Linked DNA regions of Lytechinus pictus. The protein of the gene in region 2 purifies or fractionates together with the protein of the main gene of each other region. This does not show direct contact. Links are inferred from orthologs where the notes say so. Each region holds a gene or a part of one and is shown on either strand. Other genes may lie near its edges. The genes, in order: WD repeat-containing protein WRAP73-like and testis-specific gene 10 protein-like.

Region 1 (11,117 bases), on a different chromosome or scaffold from region 2:
GCTTACTTGAAATATGATCGAAATTGGAATTCAGAAAATTTGTGCCAGGCAGCGCATTAAACTTTATTATGCCGCCTGGCGTGGATAGAACCCTGGCTAAAAGTAGAATATCAAAGAGTCACAAATCTTAGCTTTACAATATACATCCAATAGAGTTGATGAGGGTGTTTCACTTGGAACTTACTCTATTTTCACTGAAAATTGTTCATACTTGCACAAGCTATTCATATCACTGTTTCTTAACTCCAGAAAATATTGTAACCATACTTTCACATGGAATCTACCAGAGATCATAAATTCACTGCCATTGAATCTTATTATCTTGCTTTCAAATCAATATGATATGAGAATGGTTTCGTCTTTACTGGGCTCCTTACCAGGGAAAAAAAATACATATGCGCTTGGGGCGATTTTGCCCCCTGAAATGATCAAAAGAGCTCTGGAAAATAAAAGAGAGCCATGGAAAATCTCCATTAACCTCAATGTTAAATCTTACCCAATGTTGACGATTCAGGCAGTAGGTTGTGTAAAGTGGTTCTATGACAATTTCCTTGGGACAATGGCTCCGCTCAAAATTTATCTATTCCTAACCCTCACACTATATCCTACCCTAAACCCAACATAAAACCATATTGCAACCCTAACCCTACATCTTAAGACGAAATTAAGCCCGGAGCAATTGTCGCAGGAGCAATGTCATGTCACCGTGAAAAGTAGCCTCCCGAAAAACAAAATTATTTTTTTGCCTGCGCCTTACCTCTAATAATGAATCCCATACACAAAGTACCCTGCCGTCGGGTGACCATTCTAATCCAGCTAAATCTCTGGTATCCGTCTCAAAATGCTAGAAATGTAAGAGGAAAAAGAAGTAAATAAGATTGTGGAAAATCAATAATGACTGGCATTTGGAGCATAGGATCATGTTTTGGGCTGCATGCTTCGTGTTCACAACTTCAGATAGGTGTTGTATTGGACATCCAGAATGCCATTGTGCAATTTGGCCACAGAGGCCCGTATTCTGAACACAGATTTCAATTGTTCCACCGTACAAAACCATGGACTATGCAGATTTATTTCATTAACACGCTTCATTTTAAGCGCCAAAAGCGTGCATTTAATTGGATTTAACTTTGTGTACGCGATGAAATAAGCATAATTATGTTTAAAAATCTGCATAATCCATGGTCCATGGTACAATTGAAACCTCTTTTGAGAATACGAGCCAGAAAGTCCAGGATGAACATAAGTTGTTGTTTTTTTTACTGTGCACAGCATTATAATAAAAACTGACTTTTGGCTTGCAGAGTGTCTTCAGTCCTTAGTTTGCCAATAACTCAAAATACTATTCCACTAAGATACAAACAATAATAGCTGAATAGCTGAAGAGTAGAATTTTAAATGTTTCAATTACTTTCGTAATCAAAGGATATTCGTGACAATTTGAAAGCCTGCCACATACATCAACAAGGAATACATGCAATTTACTGAAGCCAGAGGACTATATTGTGATTTATGCATTACTAAATTTCTTGAATTTAACAAAAGAAATCATAAACAAAGCAAAACAAAATTGAATAAACAAAACATTCATTACGGGAATAACAAATGCTTTATATATACATACTTTGTATATTCACAGATATTCTTATTCTTTGTTGCTGTTATGAGTTTATATTCAAGATCTTTATAACATTATGATTACTTTATGTTGTGGTCAAGATTCACCATGTAATATTATCAGTAACAAGTAAATAAATAAATGAAAATAAATAAACAAACTAACAAATAAGTAATTAAATAAACAATAAACTAAATAAATAAATGAATGAATGAATATATAAATAAATAAATTAATAAATTAATTAATAAATAAATAAATAAATAAAAATAAATAAATCAATCAATTAATTAATAAATAAATAAATAAAAATAAATAAATGAATAAATAGATAAATAAAATAAATAAATAAGTAAATAAATAATGTATAATTGGTTACTTTTTTCTTGAGAAACAAATATCAAATAAACTTTGATTACTAAAAATACAGGCCTATCACTTTTTTTGCTGTATTTATTTTATTAATAATAATAATACATAACATTTATAAGGCGCTTACTACTGGTGTTTCTAAGCGCACTGTTTTCTGTTTATGGTTTGTACTTGACTACTTTATTGACTACCAGGGCTCACAGGGCCTCTAGCTATGCTCATAATTGAAAGTTCACTTTCACTATCTTTTTATATTACTTGTATAGTTGTTCAAGTTCAGAACCAAATCAATAGATCAAATGAAATTACTCACTTTAACAAGTTGCCATGTATTACAAGCAAAGACACTGATGAAATCCTTGCAGTCCCTTCTCTCAGCTAGCGCCATGTACTTGCCGTCTTTAGTGAAATGCATTCCTGGAATAAATAAATTGATTTCACAAAGATTAGATAAGATCCTCATACAAAAATTGAATAATCACATAATAAACAGATTTGTTAGTAACACATATTAAGCAACAACATGTCATTCATTCTACACCTGTTAGTAAATACATTCAGTATATTCAGCTTAAATATAGCAAATGTAATAATAATAATAGTCAGTTCTTGTATAGCGCATAACACATTATGAATAACGTCTCTATGCGCTTCCAAAGGACTTGGATATTATTACCCCGGCTGTAGCTCAAGCAGCCTTTCCAGCGCTCGGCATTTCAAGGAATGAATTCCTGCCAGGTACCCATTCACCTCACCTGGGTTGAGTGCAACACAATGTGGATAAATTTCTTGCTGAAGGAAACTACGCCACGGCTAGGATTTGAACCCACGACCCTCTGTTTCAAAGTCCGGAGACTAATCCACTGGGCCACAACGCTCCACATGCAATTCCTAGTTTATCAAATTATCACTAACATCTGCATCTGTGAACTTGTGTGTATCAAAGAACATCCATTTTATTCACAACAGAACATTTACATAACTTTAATCAATCTATATGTATTTGGTTACTATAAAAATTAAAGACTGCTTTTATTTTCATCTATAACATGAAGGATAAAAAACAAGCAAAGACCAGAAATTGAATACTCACCTTGCTTTGCCTCTTTAGGATACTTGATATAGGACACTGACCGGTTGACCAATGACCAAACCGTGATCCTCAGGTTGAACTCTGCTGTGGTCAAGATATGACGTCCATCAGCACTCCATCTCACACTGACCAGTCCAGCTGACCCTTCATCTATCTTGCATGTCCATTCAGGCTGCTCCAATGACCATACCTATAATATACGATTGATAGAATACATCGGGGGGCGTTTCATGAATGGATATTTTGTCTGACAAGTCGTTTTATCCGACAGTTATCACAGGAGCTGTGCTTCTCAACGAATCAAAACAATTTTGAAAAATTGTCTGATCTGACAACTTGTCGGACGAAAATGTTGATTATGTACTCCCCTGGACCAAGTAAACAACCTTGAGGGACAACATGCAAGATTGTTATTTCATCTTAAACTTATAAACAGCAAATTTGATAGTGTGTTGTAGGAAGAAAGGAGAAATCCAAAATGTTCATGGAGAGATATAAGAAAAAATACACAGAGTTTGCTTTTAATAAACTGAGAACAGGATAGAACAAGAAAGAGAATGTGTAATCAAGAATGCAAATGTCTGTAAACCCTTCAAAAGAGATGCATTCATTTAATGCTAAAACAATGAATTTAAATGATGATAGTGATGATGATCATCATCATCATTGTCATTTTCATTATCTTCATGATCAACATAAAAATATTGTCTATCTTTGCAACACACCATCATCATAATCACCATCATGATAATGATGCTGATAATGGTCAGGATAATAATTATATTTTTTAATCTACACTTACCTGCACTATCCCTCTTTTGAACATCCCACATAAAATAAATTTGGAATCTGAAGACCACTATAATAAAAAGAAAACAATACAAAAAAGTTATTTTCAGCACTGTCATAAACAGAGACTGCAGTAATAATGTTACCAAATAAACAACCTTGAACGAAGTCATCCAGAAGTTTGAACCTAGTCTCAGAAGACTTCCTCGGTCTCAAGTACTCACTTCAGTTAACCCACCAAGGCAAATATATAAATATTAATTGACTAATCAATATCAATTGATTAAGTTTATATCCTAGTCAAATTGAATTAAACATGGAAAAATGTTGCTTATGAATTTACATGTACATGAGCCATGCTTGAGTCTCAATTCACATACTAGAATAAATCCTAGAAATGAAAATGAACTGCCATGGAATGGAGTCATTTGTACTCAATTTCATTCAACCATGGTAATCTGGTAACCTCCTTTACTTTATCGGTATCACAAAAACAAACCTTCAAAGGAAATCTGATAAAAAATATCAAGTGACTAACCTCCAAACACTGGATCGCATCAAGACATGTGTAAAGCTGAAGAATCTGTAGAGTATGCACATCTCGAACAATCAGCCGATACTGGACACAACTCGCCTGGAAAGGAGTATGGAAAAAATTTATTTTCAAAACATATTGACATAAAAACCATTATTTATCATGGCTGTAGCCAGTCATTAGGGATCTGATGCAGAAAAATTTGCATCTGAAAGCAACTAAAAGATAAAGTCCTTAAAACCCGCTTTTGATTGAAAGGTAAATTAAAAATGAAATTATGAGTTTTGGAGTCGAATATGATTGTGGAGCGTTGTGGCTCAGTGGCTTAGTCTTCTGACTTTGAAACAGAGGGTCGTGGGTTCGAATCCCAGCCATGGCGTAATTTCCTTCAGCAAGAAATTTATCCACATTGTGCTGCACTCGACCCAGGTGAGGTGAATGGGTACCCGGCAGGATTAATTCCTTGAATGCATGAGCGCTGATAGGCAGCTCGAGCTAAAGCCAAGGTAATAAACAACGTGCCTCGGAATAGATTATTTCTAGATAGATGGCGTTGTATAAATGCCTATTATTATTATTGCAATTCTTTCTGCAACAGGCTCCTGGGGCAGTATTCTGAACATTGTCTTCTCTTGATATTTTATCTTTTCTCAGAGATATGACACAATCATATTTTCCTTCTCTCTTTTAAAAATCTTTGTCAGCTTTCTGTCTCTCTGTATGTTAAACGCATTAATATGATGTGCAGTCATGCAGTGTCAGTTACTGTATCAGGGTTCCCAGCTTTTAAATTAAACAAAATTCCTTGATTTTCCCTGAAGTTTTCAAATTTCCTGATAATTATTCAAACCCATTCCCAGTTTTGCATGTTTTCTAAGTTGTTGCATTGAATTACATGTATTTTCAGTACTGTACTGCAGTCAAAGAGGCTACACTAATTAACCACCAAAACCAGTCATTCATTGGATGTAGTTTTGATACACAACAAAATATAACAGAGTCTGGCTGACTACCGTGCTTTCGACCTTTGGGCAGCCCAAAGGCTGATCAAAATTCTTTGATTTTCCCCTCATTTGAGGTATTTTATATCGAATTCCCTGATTTTTCCATGACTGGAAAAAAGTAAATAATTTTCCCTGATTTCCCCGATGGGCTGGGAACACAGAAATATAATACACGTAGAAGGATTGTTGTCATTCACCGTACACACACCACGATGGCCCCGCTCGAGCGCACACGCCGCCATCTTGTGTAGAGCAAAGATCCCGGGCGTCTACTGTATGCGTTCACAGCTAGAGCACTTTGCTGAATTGAAATTGTGAATTCATTCATCATGAAACGGGCATTTAATTTTGATTATTATTTTTTCTCTCTCTTCTATTTGCCACTTGTTAGTTTTTTCTGCCTTCCCCTTTCATGCTTCTATCTAACAGCTCTTCTGCCCCCTCTCTACTAGCTATATCTGTCTGTTCTTGGTAATTTTTTTCTTCCCTTTTTCTCTTGATTCTCCTCCTTTATTTTTATCACAAATTTTCTGCCCACCCTCTCCATTTATCCTTCTTCCCTCTATAGCCATCTAATGGCTCTTGGAAATTATTCTTGCCCCTTTTTCTCTTGAATGTCCCCATTCTCTTTCTTTAGTTTTATCCAACATTGCTTCTGCCCAACTTCTCTCTTTATCCCCCTCTCCCTCTCATGTCATCCAATAAATCTTGGCAATTATTTCTGCCCCCTCTCCTCTTGATTTCTCTCTCTCTCACTTCTGCCAGTTCTTTTCACCCATCTCTTTCTCTTCGTTAAGTGCTGAATTTGTATTCGCTCACTTTGCTCGGAGAATCCAATTCTCTTTCCAATTCTGCCTTTCTCACTACCTCCTTATGTTTTTAATATCTTTCTCCTCTTCTGCCTTTTTTTCTATTTGCTAATAATAAATGTCAATATGAGCAAGTCAGTTAATGACATAAAAAATTGATTCCATGGTTTCAAGAGTTTGATGTGAACAATATTTATTTCTGAGCTGTGGCAATAAGAAATGTGATAAAGATTCTTGTTAAAAATACAAGAAATGATAGATAAATATACTGCAGAACAGCACACAAACAAAATAGTACTGAAGTGGTGTACAATACATGTATATTTTCAGGAAATGAGTTGACTCCACAAGATCACAAGTCGTCCATAAGCCAAACGTAATCTTTACGAAAAACCAATCTGAAGCTGAACTTCATGCAGTTACAGCAATAAAATCAACTTATTTGTGTCAATTAACTGCATAAAATCATTAAGGAATACCGTTCATCGAGAAGTGTAAAAACATCTATATTTAATTCGCATACTGTACCTATCCAAAATTTCACAGCATGTTATATGTATGCTGTACTAGTATGAGTTTGAGCAAATATTGAATATCGTATGATAGAATCAACATAGGAGTACAAGGATTCGGAAGTACATGTGTGTATTATTGTGCACGTAGAGAAGAAAATATTATTCATTATAATGTTATATTATATTATAATTATGTTAAGTTACATTACATAAGAAACATTTTTATCATAACTTTATAAAACATAATTTGCCCAGGGCCTACGTCTCAATTGTTCCTGGTGCTCGCATTGTCTGTTAAACGAGATATATAATCCTGTTGTACCAAAACATCCCGTTTTCAAGTCAATATAAACCAAATATATTTCCTAGCACTTGAGTTATCATTGTTTTATGTAGTGACATATGCTTTTTTTTCATGACTCAAAAGTGATTGCCCCATGTTAAGGTCTTCGTATATATGAAACATTTCCTGTCCGTGATTACGTTCGCATTTTTAATGGATTGTTGAGATATGTCTACTCTTCATGAATTCCTAAAATCAGTCCTTAAAATGTCCCTTCTTCTGATCTGAATATCAAAAATTTTCAGCCCGCGTTTCGCGCTCGCATCATTTGGTTAATGAAATACGTATGGTCCTGGTTAATTCCTACAAAGAAAACTTAGAATGCCCCACTTCAGGTCTGAATTATCTAAGTTTTCAGCTCGCGCTTCGCGCTCGCATTTTTAAGCGAGACAGGTACCTATCATGATTACACAAATTTGATTATAATGTCCCTTTTTAGGTGTGAATATAAACAAATTTCAGCTCGCGCTTCGCGCTCGCATTATTTGATGAGTGAGATACATATCCGTTTAATGACATTGTCCTTAAAATGTCTCTATTAGGTCACTCACTCAGTCATTCAAAAATTTTGCTGGTGCCCCCCCCCCAATGCCGTGACCCACGGTACGCCACTGTGGACATATCAATGACAATTCCTTGCATATCTAATAACATGATTGCAAAAAAATGCCAAAATATTTCAGTCATCCCCCCCACCCATCAACACGGATTTACGCCAGTGCAACATAGTAAAGGAAAATGGGAAATTCCGGCAACACGTAGGCGTGAATAAATAGAAGGCAATAACAATTACTGTGAAAAGCGAGAAAGGACGCTAAAAGTTTCTGGTTTGAATTTGATTCTCAACTTGATTGGATGTATTATCTTCAATTTTAGCTTGGATGGGACTATTTATTTTGACATAATTTGGTGTCGGAAAAATAATTAAAAACCTACCGTGTAAGGAGGATTTCATTTTGATGCTCTGATTGATGTACAGATAGGACCACTCGGTTATATGAAAGTAAGTCAGTCGGCTTATACAGAGATGAGGCCTCAAAAGCGTTGCTTTGCTGTGACCATGGACGTACAACCAATAGGTCCATGCCGTGAAAGAGGGGGAAATAATTGGTGACACTTCGTAATTCCGAAGGATCGTTATTCCGAAGTTTTACTATTCTGAAGGTTCGTAATTCCAAAACATGTTAAGTGCCTATACCTCGATGTACGTTAATCCGAAAACGATAAGAGGTTCGTTAGTCCGAACATTTGTGGCGTTATTCCGAAGGCTCGTCAATCCGAAAATGAAATAAGGTTCGTTAATCCGAAAATGAAATGATCTGTTGCGAAACCGGAAAAACTGGAAGGGCAAGCGTTTGTGGAGGGGGGGGGGGGGGTAGAAACACCATTTCATTTTCAATTGTTATGAGGATGGGAAGGGGCCAAACGTAATTTCGTTGGGGGGCAAAGCCAAAAAGAGGCACTTATATGTTAAAATTGGTCTGTTGGTGATATTTTCACCACGAGATTATCATCTCTGTGTTGTCGTTGTGTGTTTTGTAGTAATTAAAGGAGAATGAAACTCTTGGAGCAAGTTAGCTTTTGTGAAAGCAGCAAAATCAAAGAATAAGATCAACAAAACTTTGAGTAAAATAGGACTAGCAATAAAAGAGTTATGAGCATTTGAATGTCGAGATCACTAATGCTATGGAGATCCTCCCATTGGCAATGCGACCAAGATCTGTGATGTCACACACGTACAACTCTCCCATTTGGACACTGAAAATATACCCCAACTTCTCTTTTTGCTCATTCTAATCATATGACAAACGATTCATCAATGATATAATGTTGTGAAACCTCTGTACTTGTCATCTCATAAAGAAAACACCTCACCTTGTGATAGACTCTATAAAAGTGAGAATATAAGTGAAATAAGTACTAAAGTAATGAGGGAGTTGTACGTGTGTGATACACAGAAATATAATACACGTAGAAGGATTGTTGTCATTCACCGTACACACACCACGATGGCCCCGCTCGAGCGCACACGCCGCCATCTTGTGTAGAGCAAAGATCCCGGGCGTCTACTGTATGCGTTCACAGCTAGAGCACTTTGCTGAATTGAAATTGTGAATTCATTCATCATGAAACGGGCATTTAATTTTGATTATTATTTTTTCTCTCTCTTCTATTTGCCACTTGTTAGTTTTTTCTGCCTTCCCCTTTCATGCTTCTATCTAACAGCTCTTCTGCCCCCTCTCTACTAGCTATATCTGTCTGTTCTTGGTAATTTTTTTCTTCCCTTTTTCTCTTGATTCTCCTCCTTTATTTTTATCACAAATTTTCTGCCCACCCTCTCCATTTATCCTTCTTCCCTCTATAGCCATCTAATGGCTCTTGGAAATTATTCTTGCCCCTTTTTCTCTTGAATGTCCCCATTCTCTTTCTTTAGTTTTATCCAACATTGCTTCTGCCCAACTTCTCTCTTTATCCCCCTCTCCCTCTCATGTCATCCAATAAATCTTGGCAATTATTTCTGCCCCCTCTCCTCTTGATTTCTCTCTCTCTCACTTCTGCCAGTTCTTTTCACCCATCTCTTTCTCTTCGTTAAGTGCTGAATTTGTATTCGCTCACTTTGCTCGGAGAATCCAATTCTCTTTCCAATTCTGCCTTTCTCACTACCTCCTTATGTTTTTAATATCTTTCTCCTCTTCTGCCTTTTTTTCTATTTGCTAATAATAAATGTCAATATGAGCAAGTCAGTTAATGACATAAAAAATTGATTCCATGGTTTCAAGAGTTTGATGTGAACAATATTTATTTCTGAGCTGTGGCAATAAGAAATGTGATAAAGATTCTTGTTAAAAATACAAGAAATGATAGATAAATATACTGCAGAACAGCACACAAACAAAATAGTACTGAAGTGGTGTACAATACATGTATATTTTCAGGAAATGAGTTGACTCCACAAGATCACAAGTCGTCCATAAGCCAAACGTAATCTTTACGAAAAACCAATCTGAAGCTGAACTTCATGCAGTTACAGCAATAAAATCAACTTATTTGTGTCAATTAACTGCATAAAATCATTAAGGAATACCGTTCATCGAGAAGTGTAAAAACATCTATATTTAATTCGCATACTGTACCTATCCAAAATTTCACAGCATGTTATATGTATGCTGTACTAGTATGAGATTGAGCAAATATTGAATATCGTATGATAGAATCAACATAGGAGTACAAGGATTCGGAAGTACATGTGTGTATTATTGTGCACGTAGAGTATACTGTAGTTTCCTTTAAACTTGGAACATATTTAAACTTATCCCACCAGTAAAATCAGTTAAATAAAAGAAAAATCAAACAAAACATAGATTGTAAAACACTGAAAAAAATTCACTTTCCATCATAAACAATTATAGGTACAGTACATCCTGGTTAGTATGCAAATGGGGAGCATCTGCCTACAGGTGCACCAGTACTTCAAAATATAAAAATGATATCTAATTAATGAGCACTAATCACAAGAAATCTAAATGAAAATGTGATTAGAAAAAATAATTGAGTTATTGAATTCCAAATTTTGGCAACTTTTTCTGAAAACAGCTTTTTGCATGCCATGAAGAATATGCAATAGGTGGGCTGTACATGTATAATTTCTGTGGTTGTATTCCTCTTCCAATACTTATATAATTTCAGTGTTTTGTTCGTCAGATTTGCCTCTACTTGTTCACATATTTTTCAAGCGTGGAATATGTACATGTATTACTTAATACATAGTGAACATATACATGTAAATTTCAAGGTATGTATAGACTAATACATTTAGCTGCTTTCAAATTTTCATCAAAATAAAGAATTTCTTTATTTAAAACTCAAAAAGAAAATGTGTTGCAGATTTAGAATAACCCTGAAAATATATTATTTCTCTAGCACTAGGTAGCATACAAAATAAATGACATGGCATTTACCCGTACACATGACATTTATTTTTTAATCATCAACAATTATATGTATTCATAATGCAATAATGAAAGAGACAAAATATTGC
Region 2 (11,125 bases):
CTCCAACCAGTCTGGTTTAATTGTCATTTAGTCAATTAAACATTTTGTCTACTTTCCAGTTAGGCTATACACATTTTGCCTAATATCCTCTTTATCTTATACCATCGTACTAAGTGGTGTATAAAAATAACTGTTTCAGAACCAAATTTTCGATTTGACAAAGTAGAAAATAATAAGTATACAGTGGTGCTCAAAAGTGAGTGAACCCCACCAGAAAATGAACATATTTTAAGTGTTCAAGTTCGGCCACGTTTTAGAAATGTGAAGTCAGGTGATAAAAAATACATTCAATAAAGTTTGTTTCTCTTTGCTCACTGGGCATTGTAAATTTTTTGTCTTCATTCAACTGAGAATGAAGGAGTGCATTTTGTGGTGGGTTTCACTAACTTTCGAGCACAACAATATTTAGTACATTAAGTAGAAATTAGAACTGAGTATTAGACTAAGTGAGAATTGACTTAGTGGGTAAAAGACCAAATGCAGTGTAGACCAAACGGGATTAGCCGATGTGGTACTAGACCATCTGAAAATGCTGCTTGTAGACATTATATAAACCTACCTGAAACTAAGGAAACAAACCTTTCGTTGCAATTAGATCAACTAGATAGTAGACCAAATGTGTTTGGAAAAGTAAACCACATTGCTGTAGCCTAAGTGCATATAAACCTACCTGTATATTAAGATGGGATATAAGCCTTTCATTGCTATGATTCTTGGCTTCATTTGACATCACACTAAATGAATATAAACCTACCTGTATATTAAGATGGGATATAAGCCTTTCATTGCTATGATTCTTGGCTTCATTTGACATCACACTAAATGAATATATACCTACCTGTACAGTGCGTCCCACAAAAAACGAAACCGAGATTTAGCGATGATTTATCATAACTTAATCACAAATACAATAGACAAATGACCTACCATTGTAAAGCTTAGAATCTCCTCTTTAATCTGAAATTACTTAGATTATTCCTCAATCATGCATGAGTGAGCAAAAACAATTTGAAGAGGGGATACCACAAAGTCATTTGGCGGGGTGTATCTGGGTTTCAAAAAGAAAACCACATTTTTAAAAAGTTCAATATCTGCTCTTTAATTTGATACCTCAATTACAGAAAATGGTCAAGAAATAACAAAGCTATGGTTATTTGAAATAAGGCTTGAATTTCAATAATTTCATAAAATTAAGAGGTTCTACAGGCTAGCGTTCAAACTCACTTGACACTCCGTTTTGTTGACGATCAGCCATGCATTAAGTCTTTTGTTAACCATGCGATAGCTTTTGTGGGAAACCGATGAAAACACGTTTATTTAATGAAATAATGGAAATACAAGCATTGTTTCGAGGGAACATAAATTTTTTACTTCTTGACCATTTTTTGTGATTAAGGTATCAAATAAAAGAGCAGATATTGAACTTTTTAGGCATGTGATTTTCTTTTTGAAATTCAGATACCCCCCGCCAAATGAGTTTTTGGTATCCTTTCTTCAAATTGTTTTCGCTCACTCATGCGTGAATGGGGAATAATCTAAGTAATATCAGATGAAAGCAGAGATTCTAAGCTTTACATTGGTAGGTCATTTGTCTATTGTATTTGTGATTAAGTTATGATAAATCATCGCTTAATCTCGGTTTCGTTTTTTCTGGGACGCACTGTATATTAAGTTGGGATATAAGCCTTTCATTGCTACGATTCTTGGCTTCATTTGACATCACACTAAATGAATATAAACCTACCTGTATATTAAGATGGGATATAAGCCTTTCATTGCTACGATTCTTGGCTTCATTTGACATCACATCAAGGGGTCGACCACCTTCTAGTTGACGACTCAAACGGGTTATTTCTTGATCTCGATTGTCAACCTAAACACAGACAAGAAAAACATGAAAATGATGGTTAAAAATTGAAGACAAAATCAAACAGAATGGATTTAACAAAATGAAATTCAGGAAAGGAATATGCCTAATGTATGCAGCATCTGATGTGCTTTTCTTTAAATCAGAGTTTGAGAAAAAATTCTCATTTGTTGTGTTTTATTAGCAGGTTGTACTGGTATTAAAGTTAAAACCAAATTGAAATTGAGAGAAATATCAATAAAAAACAATTTAACTTGTGTGATTTTTTCCCATAATATACATGTAATCACTGATTTTAAAAATCCTACATATATAGCATCAGGCATGTGTCCTAATGATAGCAACATAAAAATTCTAGGACATGTTCTAAAATTTTGTACCAGTTTAATTGCTTCCACAATCTGATGAAAATACATTCTGAAATACATGTACATTCAAAATACAGATATACCTTCAAGTTTTCAAAATACAACTACATTGTAGTAGAGCACAACATACATGTAATACAAACACATTTAATAATAAAAGTGATGCGAATGACAATAGGCCTGATGGTATCCTGGAGGTCGATACCTACACACATGGCTGTACAAGTAGTCAATGAAAGAAGAATAGAAGAGAATTAAGTGGTGTAATTGTACCAAAATCCCAAAATTGCTGTAAGTCATCAACAGAGCAACAAAGCACCTGCATGTGAGTTTTATATATCACACTTTTGATATAGGTCTGCCCAATGAAAAAATCCCACTCATTTTGCTAATACCAGAATGATTTAGTGAATGCTCATTTTCACATATTAAAGGAGAATGAAACCCTTGAAACCATCTGAATCCATATAAAAGAGAAAAATCAAAGAAACATATTGTTGAAAGTTTGAGGAAGATTGAATGAATAATAAGAAAGTTATGAGCATTTGAATATTGAGATCACTAATGCCATGTAGATCCTCCCATTGGCAATGCGACCAAGATCTGTGATGTCACACACGTACAACTCCCTCATTACTCCAGTACTTATTTCACTTATATTCTCACTTTTATAGAGTCTATCACAAGGTGAGGTGTTCTCTTTATGAGAGGACAAGTACAGAGGTTTCACAACATTATATCATTGATGAATCGTTTGTCATATGATTAGAATGAGCAAAAAGAGATGTTTTGGGGTATATTTTCAGTGTCCAAAACTGGACAACTCTCCCTTTTTGGACACTGAAAATGTACCCCAAAACATCTATTTTTGCTCATTCTAATCATATGACAAATGATTCATCATTGATATAATGTTGTGAAACCTCTGTACTTGTCCTCTCATAAAGAGAACACCTCACCTTGTGATAGACTCTATAAAAGTGAGAATATAAGTGAAATAAGTACTAAAGTAATGAGGGACAGTTGTACGTGTGTGACATCACATATCTTGGTTGCATTGCCAATGGGAGGATCTACATGGCATTAGTGATCTCAATTTTCAAATGCTCATAACTTTCTTATTATTCATTCAATCTTCCTCAAACTTTCAACAATATGTTTCTTTGATTTTTCTCTTTGATATGGATTCAGCTGGTTTCAAGGGTTTCATTCTCCTTTAACATGTAAAAGTGGTCTATTTTAAAATTGAAATTAAATGGTTAATAATATATCACATGACATATTGGCAGCTGGTCACATGTCACAAAATAAAATATTAACAAATTATTAGCTGTTATTTTTCAATGGATATGTTTCAATCTGATTTCCAAGTTCTGATTAAAATGGTCATATTCCATGAAAAAAGTTCATATGACCCAAATCATTTCAGAAACTGGGCATACAGTATAACATACTCAGACGGACCCTTTGGCCCGAATTCACAAAGGTGGTTTTGAAAACCCACGGTTGAATCCATGGTTTATGCAGATTTCCTGTATAAATTACGCTTAATTTAGCGCGTATCGGGTGCGTGTATTAAAGATATCCTATGCTGATGCGCGCTTTTGTCAGTGCGCCAAATTGACGCCTGTTACCATGGTTAGATACGCTATTTTATTCACAAGTCCACTGTTTGAAGAGTGGACTCATGAATAAAAACAGTGGACTCGTGAATAAAATAGCGTGGATAACCACCGCAATTCACAGGCGTCAATTTGGCTCACTGTGACAAAAACGTGCATCAGCATTGGACATTTTTTAACATACGTGGTAAAATAAGCGTAATTTATACAGGAAATCTGCATAAACCATGGACTCAACCATGGGTTTTAAAAACCACCTTTGTGAATTCGGGCCTTTTTATCTGGATCTGAATAAGAGTCCTAAAACCAAAAGTGGTAGCTTCCCATTTAATTATTCCCATTTAATTGCCTTGCTGCACCTTTATTTTCTCTCAATGATGCATATCTAATGAAGTAGGGTAAAATGGCAGATGTAGAAAATAACACCCCACCCCACATCCTCTTCTTCCTTATCCAATCATATTTTGTATCAGATTGAGGCATGTTGAAAGAGGGGGGGAACGCTTCTCAGACTCAAGTCTCATGAAGAGGAATTTTCTTGCAATGCAAGGCAAAAAAAATTCAACATTATTTAGTGATGTTATATAGATCTACAATTCATGAAATAAATTCATAACCATTTTTTTTCCAGTAAATGAAGAGGAATTTTCTTGCAATGCAAGGCAAAAAAAATCAACATGATTGAGTGATGTTATATCTACAATTCATAAAATAAATTCGATGCTAGCCATATTGTATGACCATGGGAAGTAGAACTAAAAAAGGTGAACAGTGAATAGTCAAGCAGAAAAACACCTGCCATCGCATCGAACCGTTACTAGCCTGTGGTTCAGTAAGCGTCCCTGCCGACATGTTTTTCATGTTCTTCTACGTGTGTAATACAGCTAAGTCAATTCAAAGAATGATCAAAACTTCACCCAGCAATAAAGCAACAGCAATTTATCTCACCCTAGTCCTCGATTTGGATTTTCTTCCGCTCCCGTGTCGTCCTGACATTTTAAGCTCCTATATCTATATCCATAAAAAAAGACATTTGAATCGACCAAGAGCGTTGTAGTACTAGCAGCCGACAAGGCGATCGCAAGCTACAGCTGATCTCGTAGTATTTGTATTTGCATTCAAATCCTAACTGAATTTCCACCACCGCATTCATTCAACGATCGCGGTGTGCCCTTTGACCCAAGCCTTTCCCATTGTAAAGTAAAAAAAGATCCATTGAATTCTCTCTAGCTCTCTCTCTATTTCTCTTCATTCATTCGTATCTCTTACAAGGACACCCGTCCACGCTTCGATGGTCTCCAACAAAAGTGATGATTTATGACGCGACGTCTATCGCTATTAAAAGAAAAATCCTGAATGGAACAAAATATTCGCTAAATTAAATTCATCGAAATTCGCAGCGCAGCCAGCATGAAATCATTTGCATATAAATGTTTACACTTGCCTAGCAACTCTTTTATATTTATCAGTTTCTTGATCAACTAATCTGGTGAGTAGTTCGTAAATATTACATAACTGGAATTTCGAGGGGGGACCCAACGCATGGTAAAACTAATTCCCTGGTAAAAACAAAATTAATATTCCAAATTTTTGGTTCTGCAGTAATAGCGGCCTCTTCCACTCTTCTTATGCATTGTATAAAAAGAAGTATACCACAAAAAAAAACTAAAAAACAAAATAATATTTGTGATATCCTGAGTCCTTTCCATATCTTTATACTGGTACATGTTTATTACAACATAAATGCCGACATGTTTCCCCTTGAGTGAGCACCACTTACTTTTAAAAATTTTGTGATAAATAAAAAAAAATTGACAAATGTAATGTAAAAAAATCCCGGGAGGCCACTTACATTGAGACGAGTTGATACCATGCGCGACCCAAAAAACACGTAAAAAGGATGTCTTTTTTCAAGATAGGGCATAAGGGTGTCAAAAACACAAAAATAATGAAAAAAGGTATCTATTTCGCTAGAAAAGTTACGTGTTTAGGGTCAAATTTGCGGGGATGATAAAACCATGGACCTACTAAAATGTTTTATAAAGGATGTCCTTTTTGCCCCAACACTACGTGTTTAGAGTCCGATTTGCACGAGGTGTGGAAGGTGGGGTCGTACTAAACCAAATGATGTGTAAAGGTAAAACCGACGACCGAAGGACCCGTGACATAATAAAATATTCCTGTACTTGTTTAGGGGTTCATTTCAGGGAATACTTGCAAAGAGTATCGTTTGTTTCCAATACTTGTTAAGGGTAGGGTTTCACACGCCAATACTTGTTAAGGGGTGCATTTTCAGAATATGGAAAATACGTGTTTAGGGTGCTTTTCGAGACCCCATGGTCGCGCATGGTATCCACTCGTCAGTAGTCTAGTTCTAGACGATTTTAAACGAATCTATTTGCACCACGATATAATACGTTCTATTCCGTGCGTACGCCCAGCCGAGTGTGCGCGCAAAACCGAGAACCTGTACTCCGAGGAGTACAGGTTCTTTTAAACGAATCTATTTGCACCACGATATAATACGTTCTATTCCGTGCGTACGCCCAGCCGAGTGTGCGCGCAAAACCGAGAACCTGTACTCCGAGGAGTACAGGTTCTCGGTTTTGCGCGCACACTCGGCTGGGCGTACGCACGGAATAGAACGTATTATATCGTGGTGCAAATAGTCCGAGGAGTACAGGTTCTCGGTTTTGCGCGCACACTCGGCTGGGCGTACGCACGGAATAGAACGTATTATATCGTGGTGCAAATAGATTCGTTTAAAATCGTCTAGAACTAGACTAACTCGTCAGTGGAAGTGGCCCCCCGGGAAGAAAATAGACGTAAAACATTAGGAGCACAATCACTTCAAAAGTATTGGGAGTTCACCCCGCCCGCCCTGGTAAGCGAAATACAGTAGGTATATCAAAACGGGGAGGGAAATAGAGAAAATAAGAGAGGAAAAAAATGGTGAAACCGTAAAAAGAGGAAAAAAAGGGTTGTAAAAATATCTAGGGATTAATTCTAATATGGTCTTGAAATTAGGGGCGTCATTTTGTTTTAATTGTATCGACCTACTCACCTAGAATAAGGGGGCTTGTAATTGACTGAAGATAGAAGATAGATAGAAGATAGGTTTTCAAAGATATTGTAACAGCATTTGATGTGAATATTTCAGCTCGCACCTTGCGCTCACATTGTTCATTTGGTAAGATAAGGATCCTGTTTATGATTGCACAAAGAGCGTAACACGTCCCGTTTTACGTTATAAATATCAAAGTATTTCAGCTGGTGCTTCGCGCTCGCATTATTTGATTGGTAAAATATGTATTTTAACTGATTCCTACAAACGAGTCCTAAGAATGTTCCTTTTTCAGGTACATGAAATTTCCCGGAAAATTTCCAAAATTTGCAAAATAATTATTTCGTCCTACATCATTTCTTTGATTTAAAAATTTCAAAAACTCATCTTGGCTTTCTCATCCCACCTTTATTTTCTTCTTTCATTTTTCTGCGATTATTTGATTTTTTTTTATTTACATGTTCAAGATGTTGTCTCCAGAGTCCATACACAATAGATTCATCTACTCTAAAAAAAAATATTGGGTAAAAATGCTCCATGGGGTAATTATTTGTCCAACCAACTTTGGGCATTTCTTTCGGGCAATTTTATTTATCCAGTGTGATGAAAATTTTGCCTTTCAGTTTCTTAAGTAATTGCTGCTTATATTTTAACCTTACTGGACAATATGCTTCCCGCATTGAATAAAATACTGCCCCAAATTTGTTGGACACATAACCCTCGTGCTAAAATTTTACCCTATACAGTGTAGTCATCATTTCTCCCCCCCCCCCGCATGTCTATTTTTTAAAGTTTTGTTGTTTCCTGGAATTCGCAATCTTCTTTTTTCTCTATCCTACCATTACAAGATATCCTTTGCATTTTTATTTCTTCTTCAACTTCTCTTCTATTCCTGCATTTTTGTAATATTTCTTCCCCCATCCTTTTGATCATCATTTACAATTTCATTCTCCGCTTTTCTTTATTCTCCTCTTCTGTTGCATATTGCTTCATGTTCGCAGGGAGCTCGCAGGTTACTCCCTGATATTCGTTTCTTCTTCTCATTCTCTTCTGTTCCTGAAATTTGTTTTCACAATATTTTCCCCGATATCATATCACTTATAAATTCATTCTCCTAATCCTCCCTCTTTTGCTGCTTGTCATTTCTCTTGAATTTTTACTCCTCTACTTTTCTTCTCATTCTCATCCCCCCCCCCCCATCATTCACAATTTTTTTTTTCTTCTTCTCTTCTGTTCATGCTTGTTTTTGAAGATGTTTCTTTTATCAGAGAGACCAACTTCGATCAGGCCCTAAATATATTTTTCTAATCTATTCTTCCTCATTGTTATTACTTACAATGTACTTATTCCTCTTCACTAAGTCATTTCCTATTCTTTCCGTCACCTCACATATTTTTTTTTCACTGTTTTTTTTAATTTGAATATTGTTTGTTGGGACAGGGTCTGTTTCTTTACTATTTCTTCTCCTTTTCTTCATCATACATGTATACTTTCAAACAAGCAAAATAAAAGATACATGCGACACCCTGACAGAGAAGGTCTGTTTTCACAAATTTTGGCTCATTCTCCTGAAGATGACAAAAACACCCTTGTCGAAACGTCGAGTTTGGGTGGTCCTTTTCAGGACCAACATATGCCCACGAAAGAATAGATGGTGTACCGTGAAACCAAACACACTCTCCAAAATAAAAGAATTAAATATTTATCGCATGCTGAGAGTGATGACCGTCTGTCCGACAATGAAAACCATATAAAGATCTCATTTTATCTATTTACATGATTACATTTACCCAAACCTTAGATTAACAAATGACATATTAATGCGGCGATTTTTACTACACCGCTTGCTTACTTTTTAGTTTTACTATCAAGTCTTTCTAAATAAAATTTGTGACGGCCGCCGGCCGGGAAGGGATTTTAAAATTAAAACCTACAAATAAAACAGATAAGAAATTCATTTTAAAGGTAAAAGACAGTAGTTGCAGCGAACAATTATTTCATGCAAGTCTTTGAAATTCAAGTTAATTGTCAAAGTATCATCCTACACATAGATCTGGTACAAAAATTAATGTAAACTAATCTTTGTAAAATAATGAAATATTAGCTCAAAATCGATAATTTTGATGAAAAGCATGTGGGACAGTGTATTAATATTGCTTCGAAATACATGTTAACCCGACATTTGATGGAATTCCGTGCTCATTTTGCAAATTTCTCAGCAATAACGCATGTTCTTCTAAGAGCTGTTTGGCACATATTTTATATTTATACATATCACAAACACTTTGCTGGTAATTTCATTGGATTCTGTTCGAACTCATTTGAGATCATTACCACAAGTCCACAACTGGTATTTATCTTCAAACCTAGTTCATTTTAAACATAATTGTTCGGAATGCGACATCTGCATTCTAAAAACTTTGTTTACATGTAAAGAATTAAACACAGACATACATCAACATAAAAAGCCCCAAAATTAACAACACAGCTTTGTTGATTTACATATCACACTAAAATCGTGCAATTATTTGCGGCGCTCACGTGATCGGCGGCTAAGATCTCGGGAGGGGGAAGGTTGGGAGTTGATCACCCCCCCCAACAAAAAAAAAATAATAATATAATAAATAAATAAAAATAAATAAGTAAGTAAGTAAATAAATAAATAAATTAATTAATTAAATAAAACAATAATAATAAAATGAATGAATGAATGAATTGATTGATTAATTAATTAATTAATCAATAATAAAAATAATAACAATAAAATGGCCTACATGTAGTTAGGGTTAAAAAGATATTTATCACTATGTTGCTGTAAACAGAAGAATATAAACAATATATTAGTGGGGCTGGAGGTGCTATGAATGACTGACAAGTCTAATGTGCCTGACTATTGGGGTGTTGCAAGAAACTTGCGATTGAACGCAAATCGAACGCAACTCCCAAAATTGAGCGTAAGTCCTCCGATTAAACGCAAATCTGCAATTGAACGCAAGTTACGTTCAATCCTGTTGCAAGAAGAAGTTGCGTTTGATCAATTGAACGTAGATCAAGCGCAAGCTTTGCAATTGATTGCAAATCGAACGTAACTTATGTGAGATTTTGGAGGATGCGCAAAATTTGCGTTTGATTTACGTTCAATTGATTGTCCATAGGCTTGTGTACTAAAAATTCTGCAAAAATTTTCTTTTTGTATTTTGTTTTGAAAAATTGTGTAAATTATGCCATTTTCAATTTTCCATGGGTTTTTTTCAAGAAAAACTTGAAATAATGTTATTTTCAATCTTATAGGCCTCTTCAGCAATTATGCCATTATTTTCACACAATTTCACTACATTCTCTCCTAATATCATTTTAAAGTGTGTCAATTAATCACCAAAAATATTCTGCTCTTGTTATCAGAGGTCATGGAATATTCAAATTGTGATTTCTGAAATAATTTGTATAAAAAAATATTGAAGAAATATCAATTCTCCATAGGCACAAAAAAGCCACTCTTCATTAAAACACTTCATGCACTGGCAAATGTTTATCAATATTTCTGAGGGTTTGCAGTAAATACAACTCAGAATTTGTTTTGCAAGAGCACCAAATTGCTTCAATGCTTTCATTCATAAATATCATAATGAATAACATGCCCAATTAAGTTATTTTAGTTTGATTTTCAAATAAAACATACATTTCAGGAGATTGCTACACTTCAAAATCTGAAGCTCTCTTGTTTCTCTCTCTTTAATCATGAGATTGCATGGTAGATATATATCACACTTGCATACAGGGATGAGGTCGAGGCTGATTCTTCCGAGTCATGAGGCAGCTTGAGAGAACTTCCCATAGATTCTGTACAGTGACTCGGACCAAGGCCAGCAAAATGTTGTCTCGAGGTCAGCATTGACTACATCCCTGCTTGGAAATGAAAAGATCCATTGATCTATGCACAAAAAGAACACTGCTCAAGACATTCATTATTGATTGACCTTTTATTTTTAATTTTCATTGTTTCTTACTCCTGAGGAATTACTTCTGAGATTCATTTATATCAAATAAAAATTCATATCATCTTCATCAAGTGTTTTACCACTGAATGTCAGCCCACAGTCCTTAATGTTGGCAAGAAGAATCCATAGAAGTCCAGTCAGGAAAGCCACAAGCTTCTCTGCTTGAAGGAACAAATTTGGTTTCCAGAAGCAGTCTAATTTGAGAT

Evidence for each region.
Region 1: the proteins of testis-specific gene 10 protein-like (region 2) and WD repeat-containing protein WRAP73-like purify together in Homo sapiens (co-immunoprecipitation; 6 studies listed by BioGRID and IntAct, counting the BioPlex papers as one, with this or other methods). This does not show direct contact. The link is inferred for Lytechinus pictus from reciprocal best matches to the Homo sapiens genes CEP135 and WRAP73.

What each region holds. Positions count from the first base shown.
Region 1 is NC_087258.1:23,371,310-23,382,426, forward strand, and holds the start of WD repeat-containing protein WRAP73-like, read right to left. Parts: upstream 5,654-11,117; coding exon 5,609-5,653; intron 4,507-5,608; coding exon 4,411-4,506; intron 3,943-4,410; coding exon 3,886-3,942; intron 3,274-3,885; coding exon 3,084-3,273; intron 2,408-3,083; coding exon 2,304-2,407; intron 845-2,303; coding exon 758-844; intron 1-757.
Region 2 is NW_026974140.1:11,102,607-11,113,731, reverse strand, and holds the start of testis-specific gene 10 protein-like, read right to left. Parts: upstream 5,286-11,125; 5' UTR 4,854-5,285; coding exon 4,806-4,853; intron 1,874-4,805; coding exon 1,745-1,873; intron 761-1,744; exon of another isoform or gene 731-760; coding exon of another isoform or gene 671-730; intron 1-670. UniProt on the Homo sapiens protein: Centrosomal microtubule-binding protein involved in centriole biogenesis. Acts as a scaffolding protein during early centriole biogenesis.